2 linked regions of the Arabidopsis thaliana genome follow. The protein of the gene in region 2 interacts with the protein of the main gene of each other region in a pairwise test. Each region holds a gene or a part of one and is shown on either strand. Other genes may lie near its edges.

Region 1 (7,654 bases), on a different chromosome or scaffold from region 2:
GTATATTGGAAAATGAAAATGGAACGAGACAATTCAATAGTTCTGATCAATTTAATATTTTCAAAACGATCAAGTGCATAACAGCAAATTGTATCCAAGTATCGTCTAACAAATTCTTTTAAGTTCTTTTTTTGACTTTTCATAATCTATAGAACTTTTTCTTTGAAGCTTCTTGATGTAAAATGGTAGGGCGGAAAAAGCTAGGGTGATGTAAAACCAAAACTTGAACCAAAATTCGTGTAGATACGTAACTAGATTTGATTTAAATAAATAAAACATTCGTTATGTGCCTTGGATCCTCTGGCTAACGGGTGACCATAAAGTAGTGTTGCATTCTTTAATTTTGTTTCGCCTTTTGCGTAATGAGAGACCATATTATAAAATAAAGCCTAACTTTACAATATCTGTATTTTTTCCTCGACACTCTTTTTTAAGAGACCAATAGTTTGAATTCATTATCATGCATCTTCCAATCTCATAACTAATTTGGTATGCATGTATAAGTGCTACAATCATTATTATATGGGGTTTCTGATTTTTTGAAGTACAAGAATCAAAATGAATCCAACCTGATTGGTGTAGTTTTGGGTCGAGTTCGGTCGAAACAAAAATTTGATTCGGTATTATTTATTTGATTTTGGTTCGGTTTATTATGGTTGGCACTTGGCATATTGGTTTTGAAAAAAAAAAATGTTATCATGTACGATTTTTTTTGGGTGCAAAAAAGCATCATGTACGATAGTTTTCTACTTTTCTTCAAAGATTGAAAGTAACCGTTGCAATCTCATTGCATTATTAGGCCTACGAGAGGTATCTTCTTTCAAGTGGGCTTTACCATTACACTATTGACCAAGTTTGGGCCACATTTGGTTTGAATAGCCCATAAGAATGTGGTTTTTTTTTTTTAACTAGTCGCAACTTATTATCGTGTATGGTGTGAACTTGATTGATTTTGACAAGCCAAAAAAATCGATTGATAATTAATTGATCTCGACAAAATAAAAATCTAATATCAACACATAAGCTCACCAAGCATGTTTTATTCTTTATTGATCATACAATGTATGTTTGCTGTTATTATTCGGGTTGCAAATAATTTATGTGAATATCAGAACTTCAGAAGTAACTCCTACCAAAAAAGGAACTTGAGAAGTAATCACATATGAATATCGAAGTTACTCTCATCTCAAATTATGCAATGATGGCATTCCATTAAATTACTACTATTGAATTGTACACAAATCCTCCATCACATCAACCAACAAACAAAGAATAATACAAATTAAGAATATATTCCAAAGAAATTGATAAATAGTGATTGTTAGTTGTAACTGTAAACACAAAACCAGAATTCTTAATTATTAATAGAAAAACAAAGGTTTCGAATGGTAACCAAAATGCACCGTGCAATCATACATATAACATTAGTTAGTTATTTTTAGAATATATTGAAAAGATAATTATTGTATAATTACTAAGTATATTCAATTTAAAGTCGTAAGAAAAAACCCTTTATTGGCTCTAATTGTTTAAAAACATATATTAGGATTCACTAAGATGTATAATTGAAATCAATTTCCAAACCATGTAAAAGTACTAGTTTTCTCAAATAGTTTGTTGCTATTAGTTTGTTACTAAAACTAATTCACACATTTTTATCACCAAAAGAGCAAAAATGGACGTGGGATGAATATGATGATATTTTTTTTGACCTTGTTGTAGGGTCTCTCACTCTCTTCTTCCATTAAAGAATTCTCAGAGCTTTTCTTACTTCAACTGTTTTCTTGGCCCATCTCACTGAAATAAGTGTGATAAACTCTGCCTGTTACATTATTTGGATTTTAATAGGTGAAGTAACGGAATATGTAATCTACATCAAAATAATATTCACTTCTATCTCTCTACCTTATGGCATTAGAAAAATCCAATTATTACATGAAAGGAAACTATAGTAATTAGATGAAGCATAGAAGCGACAATTAAAAGACATAAAGAGAGACAAGTCTTGGCAAGTTTTCTCTGTTTCACACTTTGGAGACGAAACCTTAAAGGCTTAAAACTGAGAAAAACAAAGCCGTTGGCTTTTGTAAGCCGCTCGTTCTTCGAGACAAAACACACTACACTCTTTCTCTCTCACTCACTCTTCATCTCTTTTCTTCTTTCTCTCTCTCCTAAAAATCCGACGAAATTATGATTCACTTTACCTTTTAATCAGGAATATCCCTGTTTCACCCTTCTTCTTCTTCTTCTTCTTCTTCTTCCTCGTGTTTTTTTTCCATAACATTCCCTCTGAATCTTCGTTTTTTATTGGAAAGAAACAATCTAATCCAAGTTCAAGGGTTTTCTCATCTTCAGTGGCTGAAGTTATGAGCTTTACAAGATGGGAAGTGTTCTTTGGTCTCTCTGTTTTAGCCTTGACAATGCCTTTCTCAGCTGGAGTTACTAATCTACGAGATGGTAATAATCTTTCTCTGCAAAGTTTTTTTTATTTGGATTTTGCTTTGACTCTCCTTCTTTTGGTTTAGTGAACACTCTAGATTTTTTTTAGACTTGTGTCTAGTGAAAATGACTTACATCAGTTTTAGGGTAAACTAGGTAAGCAATATAGCTGTTTGGGAAGCTCCAGATTGGCAAAGTTCTATGATTTTGAGGCTACCTCAAAAACCCTAAAAAGTTTAGGTTTTTGACACATAAGCTCTTGTTAGGGTTTTAGTTCAAGACCAAGAAATTTGTTCTTATTGTTCTTCATTAAATGGTTATCATAAGAAAGATTCTTTAATCTCTAGAAATTTTACTTTTTGATGTGTTTGTCTGTTGTTTAATAACTTCTGCAGTTTCGGCGATTAATAACTTGTATATCACTTTGGGAGCACCATCTCTACATCATTGGCTTGCTTTTGGAGGAGACCCTTGTGGAGAAAAGTGGCAAGGTGTGGTGTGTGACTCCTCAAACATCACAGAAATGTATACTTCCTCTTCTGCTCTTGTAACTCTTTGTTATGGTTTGCTTTGAGTCACCAATTCAGGTTCTAACCACGTGAATTATTGTTGTTGGCTGCAGAAGGATACCTGGCATGAAGGTAGGTGGAGGCTTAAGTGATACTCTGGCTGATTTTTCATCTATCCAAGTCATGTAAGCAAAGCTTCTTGTCTTGTTTTCTTTCATCTTCATCTTTTGTATGAGGCTTCTTGCTATGTGAAGAACATGCAAGATGTTGTTACCATTGACTATAAGGTTTGGTTATAATCTTGAATTGCTTTGTGATACTTTTTCTCTCTTCTTTGTTTGAGTGGACAGGGACTTCAGTAGCAATCATATTTCAGGGACAATTCCGCAGGCTTTGCCTTCTTCCATCCGAAACCTGTGCGTTTGAGAATTGACTATGTGTATGGCAATACTTATGTTTCCAACAGTTAAAAGACACTTCATGTTTGGTTTCATTTTCTTGTTTCAGATCTCTCTCAAGCAATCGCTTCACTGGGAACATTCCCTTTACATTGTCCTTTCTATCCGATTTGTCTGAACTGTAAGTCTTTATTAATGTAGATACCGTTTCTTGCATCTGCGGTTTTTCCTCTGTTTGAAGCAGACTCTTTCTTTTCCCTTCAGGTCATTGGGAAGCAATCTTCTATCAGGAGAGATACCAGATTACTTTCAGCAGCTATCAAAACTGACAAAACTGTATATTTCCTCCTCACTAAGTCTCATTTTGTATCCTCCCATCAGCGTCTTTCATTTATACATTAAGTTTCTAATGCAGGGACTTATCGTCTAACATACTGGAGGGGCATTTACCTTCTTCCATGGGAGACTTAGCTTCTCTTAAGATATTGTAAGTGCACATATATGAAACCGTATACAAACATTGTTATCATTGCTTTTATATGTGATGTGGTCGGACTGTAGGTATTTGCAGGACAACAAGCTCACAGGAACACTTGATGTTATAGAGGATCTTTTCTTAACCGATTTGTAATCGTTTTTCACCTTGCATACTCTTTGTTCTTGACTCTCCAACCATTAAGCCAACTTCAGTATCTCACTATGGCTTTTCATATTTTTGATTCAGGAATGTAGAAAACAACTTATTCTCGGGACCTATACCGCCAAATCTATTGAAAATTCCAAACTTCAAGTAAGTATTACTAAAAGAAAACTTGAATGTTTTTTTTTTCCTTTTCTTTAGCCATTCATGTTACATTGTCATTATAACCGCAGAAAAGATGGAACTCCGTTCAATACATCGATTATAACACCACCGCCTCCGCCTGTGGTTGATCCTCCTCCCGCTACTCACCGTGCTCCTCCTGTTCCCCGTATCCCTCCTGTTTCTGGTGTTCCCCCAGCACCTTTTGCTCCTTTTGCTCCACTGCAACCACAACAACATCCACCACCATCACCACCTCTGGTCTGGTCACCACCTTCTTCTGATAATGGAGGAGGAGATCCCTGGAACTCTGTGTCAGGGCAACCTACCTTGCAAATATCACCTCCTTCAGGTTCAGGATCAGGAAAATTCTGGTCCACTCAAAGAATCATTCTAGTAGTTTCTTCAGTGGCCATAATTGTTCTTGTATCCGGTTTGTGTGTTACACTTTGGAGATGTTGCAGAAGTAAAATATATAACCGATATTACAGTGGAGCTCGTAAAGATTTACAACGACCATACTTCAATAAGCCTCCATCTCAACCAACCCCCACTATGGGAAAAGGTACACTGATTCTTTTCCTTCCAAGAAAAGAAAAGAAACTTGTGCTTTGGCTCATTACCTAACGGCAAACTGCTGTGGTGTTTTCTTTTGTTGCAGTTTCTCGGGAGCCTATGGTTAAGCCTTTCGATGGATATGGAGCTGGAGACAGGAAATATGGGTATCCAATGCCACAGCGGGCTGAAGAGAGCCGGAGAGCAATGCCTCCTACTTCATATTATAATAAGGATGTTAATACACCTCAAAAGCCGCTGCAACAACCACCGAGGCAGTTCCAGTCCAATGATACTGCTTCAAAGAGAGCGGCTCATTTCCCCCCGGGCTTGAATTCCTCATCTTCTGCTACTGTTTTCACCATTGCTTCACTTCAGCAATACACAAATAATTTCTCAGAAGAGAATATAATCGGGGAAGGGTCGATTGGTAATGTCTACAGAGCTGAGCTTCGTCATGGAAAGGTGTGACACTTTCCTCTTATTTGTCATTTGGTCTTACAGTATTTTATGCTGTGCATTCTTATTTACGTCTTGACACGTTGTGATCTATAGTTTCTTGCGGTGAAGAAGCTGAGCAATACCATCAACAGAACACAGAGTGACGGCGAATTCCTCAATCTAGTCTCCAATGTGTTGAAGCTTAAACGCGGTCATATATTGGAGCTTCTTGGTTACTGTAACGAGTTTGGTCAAAGGTTACTTGTGTATGAGTACTGTCCTAATGGATCACTTCAAGATGCACTACATTTGGATCGCAAGTTGCACAAGAAGCTCACTTGGAATGTACGTATAAATATTGCATTAGGAGCTTCAAAGGCATTGCAGTAAGTTAAAGAACCTCAACATGTTACGCCAATCTATATTTGGAACATATAGGATCTTAGAGTTTGGTTTCAGGTTTCTTCATGAGGTATGTCAACCGCCGGTTGTTCACCAGAATTTCAAGTCTTCCAAGGTTCTTCTTGATGGAAAGCTCTCAGTACGTGTTGCAGACAGCGGTTTGGCTTATATGTTACCACCACGCCCAACGAGTCAGGTAAATTTGTCATCTTATTTTGAAGATCCCAAACATAAGAGTGAGTGTTGTAAAGGATATGATGTTTGCTTATAAAATTGTAGATGGCGGGTTATGCCGCTCCTGAGGTTGAGTATGGAAGCTACACTTGTCAGAGCGACGTATTTAGCCTTGGGGTTGTAATGTTAGAACTGCTCACTGGACGCAGACCATTTGACAGGTTAGCTACTCTAAAGAGACAACTAATAGAAGCCATAAAAGAGTCTGAACTCAAAAGTCAACATGTTCACTTATGTTTCTTATGCAAAATCACTGTACTACACTATCTCAAGACAAAACCCTGTTTTTTTTTGCAGGACAAGGCCGAGGGGACATCAAACACTAGCTCAGTGGGCGATTCCTCGGCTTCATGACATCGATGCGTTGACAAGAATGGTTGATCCGTCATTACACGGAGCGTATCCAATGAAATCATTGTCACGTTTTGCAGATATCATATCACGTTCACTGCAGGTAAACTTAACTTCATTCATCACTTAACTAGATGAGAAAGCAATGTCAAACACGTGACATCAGAATATTAACTAACCCTTTTGACTTCTGTGCATGCTTATCTTTGTCTGTAGATGGAACCAGGATTTAGACCGCCGATATCAGAAATAGTCCAAGATCTTCAACATATGATCTAAGATACACAACCTTGGACTAAGACGCAGAAGCAATAGTTTATTGTCAGATTCTTGTTCTTTGTCCTTTGATGAATGAAAGTATTTCTTTTGTATTATAATAACACTTTATGTATGTTGTTGGCTGTATGAAATGAGCTATGGGATCATCATTATGTAACCCCAATCCCATTACCGGCTCAAACATTATTCACCAACCTGATCATGTATTTAGATTCTATTTTCTGAAAAGGATAAACATTTTTTGAATCAAAAGACATTAAAATTCAAGAACAAAAGGTTGTACTTAACAGTAGTGTAAAAGAGAAGGTAACTTGTTCAACTAGCACTGTAGACAACAAAACCTAAACTTCAAATCAATCTGCTCCACAGAGGGCATGTGATTGATGCTTTAGAGTCGTTTCTCTGAAAGAAAGCTCCCGAAAGCCGTAGTCAAGGCAGTGGATGTCACGAATGAGGCTCTTAGTAAACCTATGGCCTGGATTAGTGTCAGATTCAAAAAAAAATATCAGGAAAGAATAGTAATATAGATATACATGTGTTTTGCCAATGTTGATTTCATGCTCAAAAATATCGTCCAAGTTCACATCAAACTTCTTCTTTACGCAAATAGTAAGATCATCTGAGACAATGTATGTTGCCCCTCTCTTAACTAACCCATTGCTACCATGAGGTGTCGACTGAGAACTACCGTCACTGTTTAAATAACTGACCCCAAGCAACGGTTTCTGCAAACTATATTGCCAAGGAAGCATACATGTGTTAGTAGATGCATCTGTGCCTCCCCTAGAGCTCAAGTCCTTCAAGCTTCTACAAAAGTTGCCAATGCATACTAGGTCGATATTGCTTCCAGTGATTTCCCATACAGACTCCAAAGGGATAGCAAGGAAAATGAAAAGTAGATCCACAAAAAGTCGTGTCCGCTTTCAGCGTCAAGAACCTTCATGTCCTGCTTCCTAGCAAACAGAGTGAGTCCCTGCTTCACCTCCATCTTGCGCGGGTAGCTTTGGCATGTCATGCCAACGTGTCATACCACAAGAGCTATGCTTCTTCATCATCATCAAATTGTGGAATCTCTGATCTATTTATGCCATTACGTTTTCGCACTCTCCGATCTATTTATGAAATTTTTGAATCCAGGTTCTATCTCTGCTTCATTGCTTGCTCTCTTCGGAAACTCCTTTCACTGATGTCTTTTTGAAATTGGGCCATCTAATTTTTTTGCATATAGGATGATCACTACTTGC
Region 2 (7,097 bases):
GTTTGCCAAGGTTCAGATCCGTCTATTCCTTAGTAAAAATTGAATAGTTTTATGTGTTCTATGATCGAGTATGCGTAGTTGTTGCAATTGCTAGCCGTTTCTTGTATAAACAAATTGTAATTGTTTGTTATATGCTTCTTGTATTAAACAATTGTAATCGTTTGTTTTCTGGTGCTTGTATACTTCCAATTGTTTGCTCTGATTAATTTAATCCATGCATTGGAATGGGTGATTACCAATTGAATAAATTAAAATAAGCAAAAAAAAACAAAAACAAATAAATAAAATATAAGCAAAACATAAGCAAAACATAAGCAAAAACAAGGAGCAACTGAAACATAAAAAACTTGTTAGTTCAGAAAGTGAGATCACACATCCTTTTAACGATTTATTACCTTCTAAATCAAAATTCAACATTTACTTTACTTTTATTTTTATCACAAAAGCCATAAAAATAGTTTTTTTAGAAGAAAAACAAAATTATGAACAGTTTTAGTTATTTGTTTTCGTTCAGTTATTTCTGTTTGAATTTAGTTTTAGGAAACATTATTTGAGCCTCAAAACATTACCAAAACAATTGAATCTTATTCCTTTTTAAGCTTGTAGTGTACATAATTAGTACGTTTATCATCACTGTTATTAAATGATACGTGGTTAAGAGATCTACGGTTATAAAGTGTGCTTTATGTTTTGTTATGATAGTGTGTTTTTTTTCACTTTTTTGAATTGATATATTATCATAGGGTTTTCCAAATTGTAGACTAAGCTAATCAAGTCCATTTTTTTAAGGCTTTTATTTAAATATCATAAAATTCAAATACATTTAGAGTTTTTTTTTTTTTTTTTGTATAACTTAAGTTTAAGTTACTAAATTTTTCAATATGACTAGGTTATTAACTCTCGTTATGCGTGAGTTTGTTTTTATCGATTTTTAATATTTTTTTGGGTTTAGTATTCATTTAAGTAACTATACACAATATATAGTAATGCAAAAATACTATTTTTTTTTTTTTTTTATTAATTCTAATATATATTTTTTACTATATATTTTAGAGTATTAATTTATATTTAATGTCGAAGTAGGTTTTGAAAATAAAGACGACAAGTTTAATATGTTTTCAACCCTAATAATCTAAACCAGGACCGAGAGAAGATTTTTTGCAAGTGTTATTATATTTCATCCAACGGAAAAGATATATTTTACATCTTGTTTTTGCTCTCTTTTTGTTACAAATAGTTTAAAACCAATATAAGGAGAATACATAGCTTATTTCGTTACTCATTAGGGCTCTTTCATCATAGTAACCCCATAAATGGTTAAACAGTGTAGTGTTGTTGAATGGTATCAATGTCAAGCCCCTTGAGCTTCACTACAGATTCAACGTGACCCTTTAGAGTGTGAAGCTCTCTCAGCCTACAAATAAGAAACAATACCTTGTTTAGTTTGGTTTGATTATCCAATGTTTTTTCTTAAAGAATATGACAAAGAGGATTAACTTTATTACCTCGCAACTTCGGCACGCCTTTTGGCCTGCTCTGCTATTTCAGAGAGCTCGTTCTTATTGTCGTTGAACATTGCTTCTGGAGGTGGTAGACCATGGAGTGTACGTTGAGCTAGTGCCCACTGAGCCTCCCTCTCTCCTTTTCCATAATCTTTCTTAGTTGTGAACGCAGTCTGCAAAAGATTAAAGAGCTATGAAGCTCACAACTAACATGGATTTAAGGTAAAGTTTTGTTTCCGAAATATGCTCACTTTCTGGTTGATCATGTTATCCCAAGCCTTGCCAGTGAGAGCGTAACGGATGATGAACTTGAGAATATCAAGAGGAATGTAGGTAATGATACTGTATACCCATATACCTCCAGCCCATCCCCATCCACAACCGACGATTCTTGCGAATCCCCAGTTTGCATACACAGCGATCAATGTAGCCACCTTGTTTGTTGCATAAAAACGACACATGTATCAGACGGTAATGAATGAAAATGGATAGTATTATGGTACAAAGAGAGTCTACTAACCAATTGTGCTATAACAAAGGCTATTAGGAGCAAAAACCCAGGTCGTTCAACAAATGACCAGCTCCTTGATCTGGTTACAAAGATAAGTGCTTGACTTATGATGCTCACTTGAAGATACAAAGCTGCCATAAGTTCTTCTTCGTTCCCTTGTATGGACCTAACTCCAAATGTTTTCTGCAATTTAATATTGAAAATAAGTATAGTAACCGAATGTTGTTGATGTGATATTGTACACTACTTACGCTGAAGAAGTCTGTGTCATGAGCTAGCCAGAAAAAGAGTACAGTGGTAAGAGCCATGTAGGTTCCTAGAACAACGCCAGTGGCGAAAATCTCATTGAGCTTCCAAGAATCTGGCACCGGGGAAGGTTTAACCCTGTCCTTAGAGATAGTCATGATGGTTCCATCATTTAGGATTGCGATAATCAAGACCATGAAAGGTGCGAAATCAAATCTCCAGATTAAAGCAACAAGCATGAATCCCAAAACAATACGGATAGTGATGGAAACAGCGTAGATTGTGTAGTTCTTCATCCTCTGGAAGATAGCGCGACTTGTCAATACGGCACTTATTATCACGCTTAGTCCTGGTTCTGTTAGAACAATGTCTGAGGCGCTTCTTGCCGCATCAGTAGCATCTGCCACTGCAATTCCAATATCCGCTTTCTTCAAAGCTGGAGCATCGTTTACACCATCTCCAGTCATCCCACAAATGTGCTTCCTCTCTTGTAGCTTCTTTACGATCTCATACTTGTGCTCTGTGTAAACCAAATGAAAACAATGTAATTGAACAAACCAAGTGAGACTGATGTAACTGAACAATATTTTAACATTTGACTATTTGAATATATTACCAGGGAAGACTCCAGCAAATCCATCAGCTTTCTCAATGAGCTCATCGATAGGGATGCCAACTAATGATTCATCCTTTGAATTGCCAAGGAGTGAAGTGGATGGGTACATGTTGGTTCCCATGCCAAGCCTACGACCAGTCTCAATACCGATGGCAAGTTGGTCACCGGTAATCATCTTAACATTGACACCAAGCTCAAGGGCTCGTCTAATAGTTTCCGCACTGTCATGTCTTGGGGGGTCAAAGAGTGGCAACAGACCAACGAACTCCCATGGACTACCATCACTTTCCTTAGTCTTCTCAGGCACAGTCTGCATTTGAATAGAAAAGGAATTTTCTTAAAACCATATAACGAAATATGTTTATGTCATTATGTGATGAGTCTAACTATGACATACCTGTTGAGCAACACCAAGAGAACGAAGCCCACGTTCAGCAAAACCATCGATAACTTCGTGTGCTTTTCTTTTAGTCTCTCCTTGGAGATTGCAGAGTTCAATGATCTAGTAATAATAAAGTTACTCAGATAAAGATAGTAAGTTAAATTAAAAGTAAAACCAAGCATATTAGTTACATTACCTGCTCAGGAGCTCCTTTACTGCTCCGATGCCAGTCTCCGCTTTCATCGATGTATGTGATCGCTGTACGTTTATCTACAGGGTTAAAGGGCAAGAAATGCACCTCTGTGATTCCTGCTCTTGCCTATTTATTTCATCAAAAACAATTGCAACATAAGGACAGTAAACAAAATGAATCCAAGTTTCACAAATATGAAGTACGTACCTCTTTAGGATCACCCAACATTCCGACGATGGAAGCATCAATGGCATCTTGGTTTTCAATCCTGGAAGCTCTTGCAGCCATCAATACAACTGAGTCACTATCCATGTTCTTTGGGAACACTTCAATTAAGGACTTGTCGACAGAGAGCTTGTTAAGGGTTAGAGTTCCAGTCTTATCACTGCAGAGAACATCCATTCCAGCCATTTCTTCAATTGCAGTCATCCTCTTGGTGATGGCACCTTGTTGAGAGAGTCTATGTGATCCAATAGCCATTGTTACAGACAAAACTGTTGGCATGGCGATTGGGATTCCTCCGATCAAAAGCACCAATAGATTATCAATACCATCTCTGTATGTGCGGTGTTGGATAGGGTACATAATCAATATCTCAATCAACATCCCCAATCCAATTGAGCATATACAGAAGTTACCAATTGATGTCAAAACCTGGAAAATAAAAACCCAGCCGTGAGACCCTAGGTAGACCAAGAGTTACAGTACTCAGATGTTGTTCATTTCTAAAATACCTTTTGGAAATGGCCAACATTGTTGGTACTGTCAACAAGATGAGCAGCCTTGCCAAAAAAGGTGTGGACACCCGTGGCAATGACAACAGCCTCAATCTCACCTTGCTTGCAGGTTGAGCCAGAGAATACTTCATCTCCTGGGTGTTTGGTGGTTGGAAGGGATTCACCAGTAAGAGCAGATTGGTCAATTTTTAAAGGATCTCCTTCGAGGAGACGAGCATCAGCAGGAACAATGTCACCCAATTTGATGCTTATCAAATCACCCGGAACCAAGATTGAAGCCTCTTGCTCCCCCCATTTACCATCTCTCAACACCTACATTCACACATAGGTTATATAACTCTCCTTTTTAGAAAATACATACCTATATATATGTATTGAGAAATTTGCATACCTTAGTCTTTGGTGCAAGATTTGCCATGAGAGCAGCAGCGGCATTGCCAGCATTGTTCTCCTCGATGAAACTTATGGTGGAGTTGATGATAAGCAACACCATAATACCGATAAAATCTTGCCAATCCGGCGCCTTTCCTCCTCCATTAGCTAAAACAATAGCCATGATTGCAGCAGACTCCATAACCCATGAGAGAGGATTCCACATGAACCCCAAGAATTTCAAAAACTTGTTCTCTGATTTCTCTTCAAGCTTGTTTGCCCCAAATATTTCAAGCCTTTTAGCACCTTCATCGCTGGACAAACCTTCTTTTGAGCATTTCAGCTGCTCAAACACTTCTTCCACAGGGATCCGCTCCTATAATATAAATCATTCAAAAATTATTACAGATTTTCAACAGTTCAAGATCTCGAGAACGAATTAAACTCTGTAAAAATCTTACAAGGTCCACATTTTCTTTCTTGATTTCATCCCACGAGAATTCAGTCGCCATTTTTCTTCCTTAAAAGAGAGACAGATATAAAAAGAAGATATATCCGATGGACGTATAAATCAACTTCTCCCTTCTCTCCTTGCTCTAAAGCCTTCTCTTAGCATGCAAGACGCTTTCAAGACGAGGCCATAAGAGAGAGGGAGAGAGAGGAAGAAGCGTGTATTACAAGAAACCTATGAGAAGGTATAAATACAAAAGAATAACACACTCTAAAACAACCATTGTTGTGTTCCATTTAAAACCCTCACCAGCGATCTAACTCTATTCTCGGAACTTTTTTCTTTTCTTCCAGTAATCAGGTTTGGTGGCTTACCAAAGCTTTCGCTTATTTCTTCCTGTCCTTTTCTCTACACTTTCTAAAAATAGTGCATCTCAAATTTAGCCTATGATTTCAATGTAACATGCAGAATTTACTTTGAGGAGTCAATATGTCTTTCTATGGTCCACAACTCCGGATAAAAATGTGCATTAATAATATGTATGTAATTCAATATACATATCTATTTAACAATAAAACATTGTAAATACAGGCATGTATGATTTATATGTAAATCTAGTAGCAAGAAGACTCTCTAACCTCAATGTTTCATTTCAAGCATCGGAAAAGTTTATCAGGGGGATTGTGATAGTGAGCAAAGAGTGACGGTCTTTGCAGCAAAGATGTGGCATGTAGCTAGTAATTCCAGAAAATCTGGTCTCTCCGCAACTTTTTCTTGAGATAAACTCCAATTAGCTTTCTATACGTCCAGTTTTTCCGTGGACTGAACTCCAAAACAGCTTCCGAGCTAAGATGGAAATCCCCTTTCCCCAGAACTTCAAATGCAAGTGGATCAGTTAAGACAAGAGGAGAATCGTCCAGATTCATTCGGTTGTATACAAACTCCAAATTTCTCGCTAGTCGCTTATCCATATATGCATCGACAACACATCCGAAAGTCACAAGATCCGGAACAATGTTCAAACGTCTCATATGTTCAAGAGTGAGATGTAGATCCCAGAAGAGAGCCATTCTAGAAAACGCAAGAGCGCGAATGTTAAAGGTGGTAAGGTCAGGAGAGAAACCCGCATCAAGCATTCCAATAAACTCTCTCTGCAAGCTTTTCATCTTAAAATCAGCTGCATATGACAGTAATACAGAATTCCATAACATATTTCCAAGATTTCTTCTACCGAGACCAACATCTGACAAAAACTCGCGTAACCGATAAAACTTCCGTTGTTTCAAGTACGCTAACACCACAGCTCTTATCTCTTCTTCCTCTATCACAATACCAAACTTCTTAACCCGGCCATAAGCCTTCTCCATCTTATCTAAACTACCGAAAAAACTATAGTATCTAACAATCACATTAGCAGTCTCAGCCTCTAACAACACTCCCTTTGAATCCATTTCCTCTATAACACCCTCCATCAGTTCCAACTGTCCATTCTTACCAAAACAGGATATAGCAAGTGAAGACACAACCGGAAGAAGCTTCGAGTGCCTTGCAGCAACATCCTTGGTGATCTTGGCAACTTCATCAAAACAACCAAATTGCTCATAAGCAGATATAAGCTTAGAGACTACAAAGACATCAGGTACAAAACAACTGTTTATAATCTCATCCCAAATCGTACGTGCTCGAAGAACAAACCCATTTTCAGCAAAACAAAGCATAAGAGCACAAAGGGTTCTGTAATTTGGTAACAAGTTAACTGATTTCGTTTGGAGAAAAATCTCATGAGCTACATCAGGTAATCTTCTCTGGCTTAAAGTTTGAACTAATGGAGCGTAGTCTACGATTTGTATCTTTTGACTGAAGTCCCTAGATAGCTTTGATTCCTTGATCAACTGTACAAAGTAGAGAGATACCTAAAATTCAAGATATGAAGTGAACTAAGAAACAGAAGCAAGTGTGTAGGTACCTTTTTCGCGATTGAAGGAGCAGACGAATCCGTGTAACAAGATAAGAGCTTGAGATGTTGGGGTTTCAAAGATAGATTGAGCGACAACATTGCGACCAGTCTCGGTTACGGTACGGTGGTG

What was found.
Region 1: the proteins of HA8 (region 2) and SUB interact in a protein complementation assay, tested with the Arabidopsis thaliana proteins (one large-scale study listed by BioGRID).

The regions. Positions count from the first base shown.
Region 1 is NC_003070.9:3,720,769-3,728,422, forward strand, and holds SUB (Leucine-rich repeat protein kinase family protein), read left to right. Parts: upstream 1-1,939; 5' UTR 1,940-2,366; coding exon 2,367-2,457; intron 2,458-2,800; exon of another isoform or gene 2,801-2,834; coding exon 2,835-2,964; intron 2,965-3,061; coding exon 3,062-3,133; intron 3,134-3,298; coding exon 3,299-3,364; intron 3,365-3,455; coding exon 3,456-3,527; intron 3,528-3,610; coding exon 3,611-3,682; intron 3,683-3,761; coding exon 3,762-3,833; intron 3,834-3,907; coding exon 3,908-3,973; intron 3,974-4,070; coding exon 4,071-4,136; intron 4,137-4,219; coding exon 4,220-4,713; intron 4,714-4,809; coding exon 4,810-5,168; intron 5,169-5,258; coding exon 5,259-5,530; intron 5,531-5,603; coding exon 5,604-5,742; intron 5,743-5,825; coding exon 5,826-5,941; intron 5,942-6,077; coding exon 6,078-6,234; intron 6,235-6,347; coding exon 6,348-6,410; 3' UTR 6,411-6,682; downstream 6,683-7,654. Other genes in the region: AT1G11145 (hypothetical protein (DUF674)), read right to left, coding at 6,764-6,868, 6,944-7,276, 7,348-7,398. UniProt on the Arabidopsis thaliana protein: Regulates the expression of transcription factors that define the cell fates.
Region 2 is NC_003074.8:14,722,283-14,729,379, reverse strand, and holds HA8 (H[+]-ATPase 8), read right to left. Parts: upstream 5,278-7,097; 5' UTR 5,072-5,277; coding exon 5,021-5,071; intron 4,936-5,020; coding exon 4,579-4,935; intron 4,500-4,578; coding exon 4,185-4,499; intron 4,105-4,184; coding exon 3,658-4,104; intron 3,577-3,657; coding exon 3,454-3,576; intron 3,378-3,453; coding exon 3,273-3,377; intron 3,186-3,272; coding exon 2,876-3,185; intron 2,780-2,875; coding exon 2,265-2,779; intron 2,197-2,264; coding exon 2,023-2,196; intron 1,937-2,022; coding exon 1,754-1,936; intron 1,676-1,753; coding exon 1,506-1,675; intron 1,415-1,505; coding exon 1,318-1,414; 3' UTR 1,053-1,317; downstream 1-1,052. Other genes in the region: AT3G42630 (Pentatricopeptide repeat (PPR) superfamily protein), read right to left, coding at 5,745-6,902, 6,977-7,066. UniProt on the Arabidopsis thaliana protein: The plasma membrane H(+) ATPase of plants and fungi generates a proton gradient that drives the active transport of nutrients by H(+)-symport. The resulting external acidification and/or internal alkinization may mediate growth responses.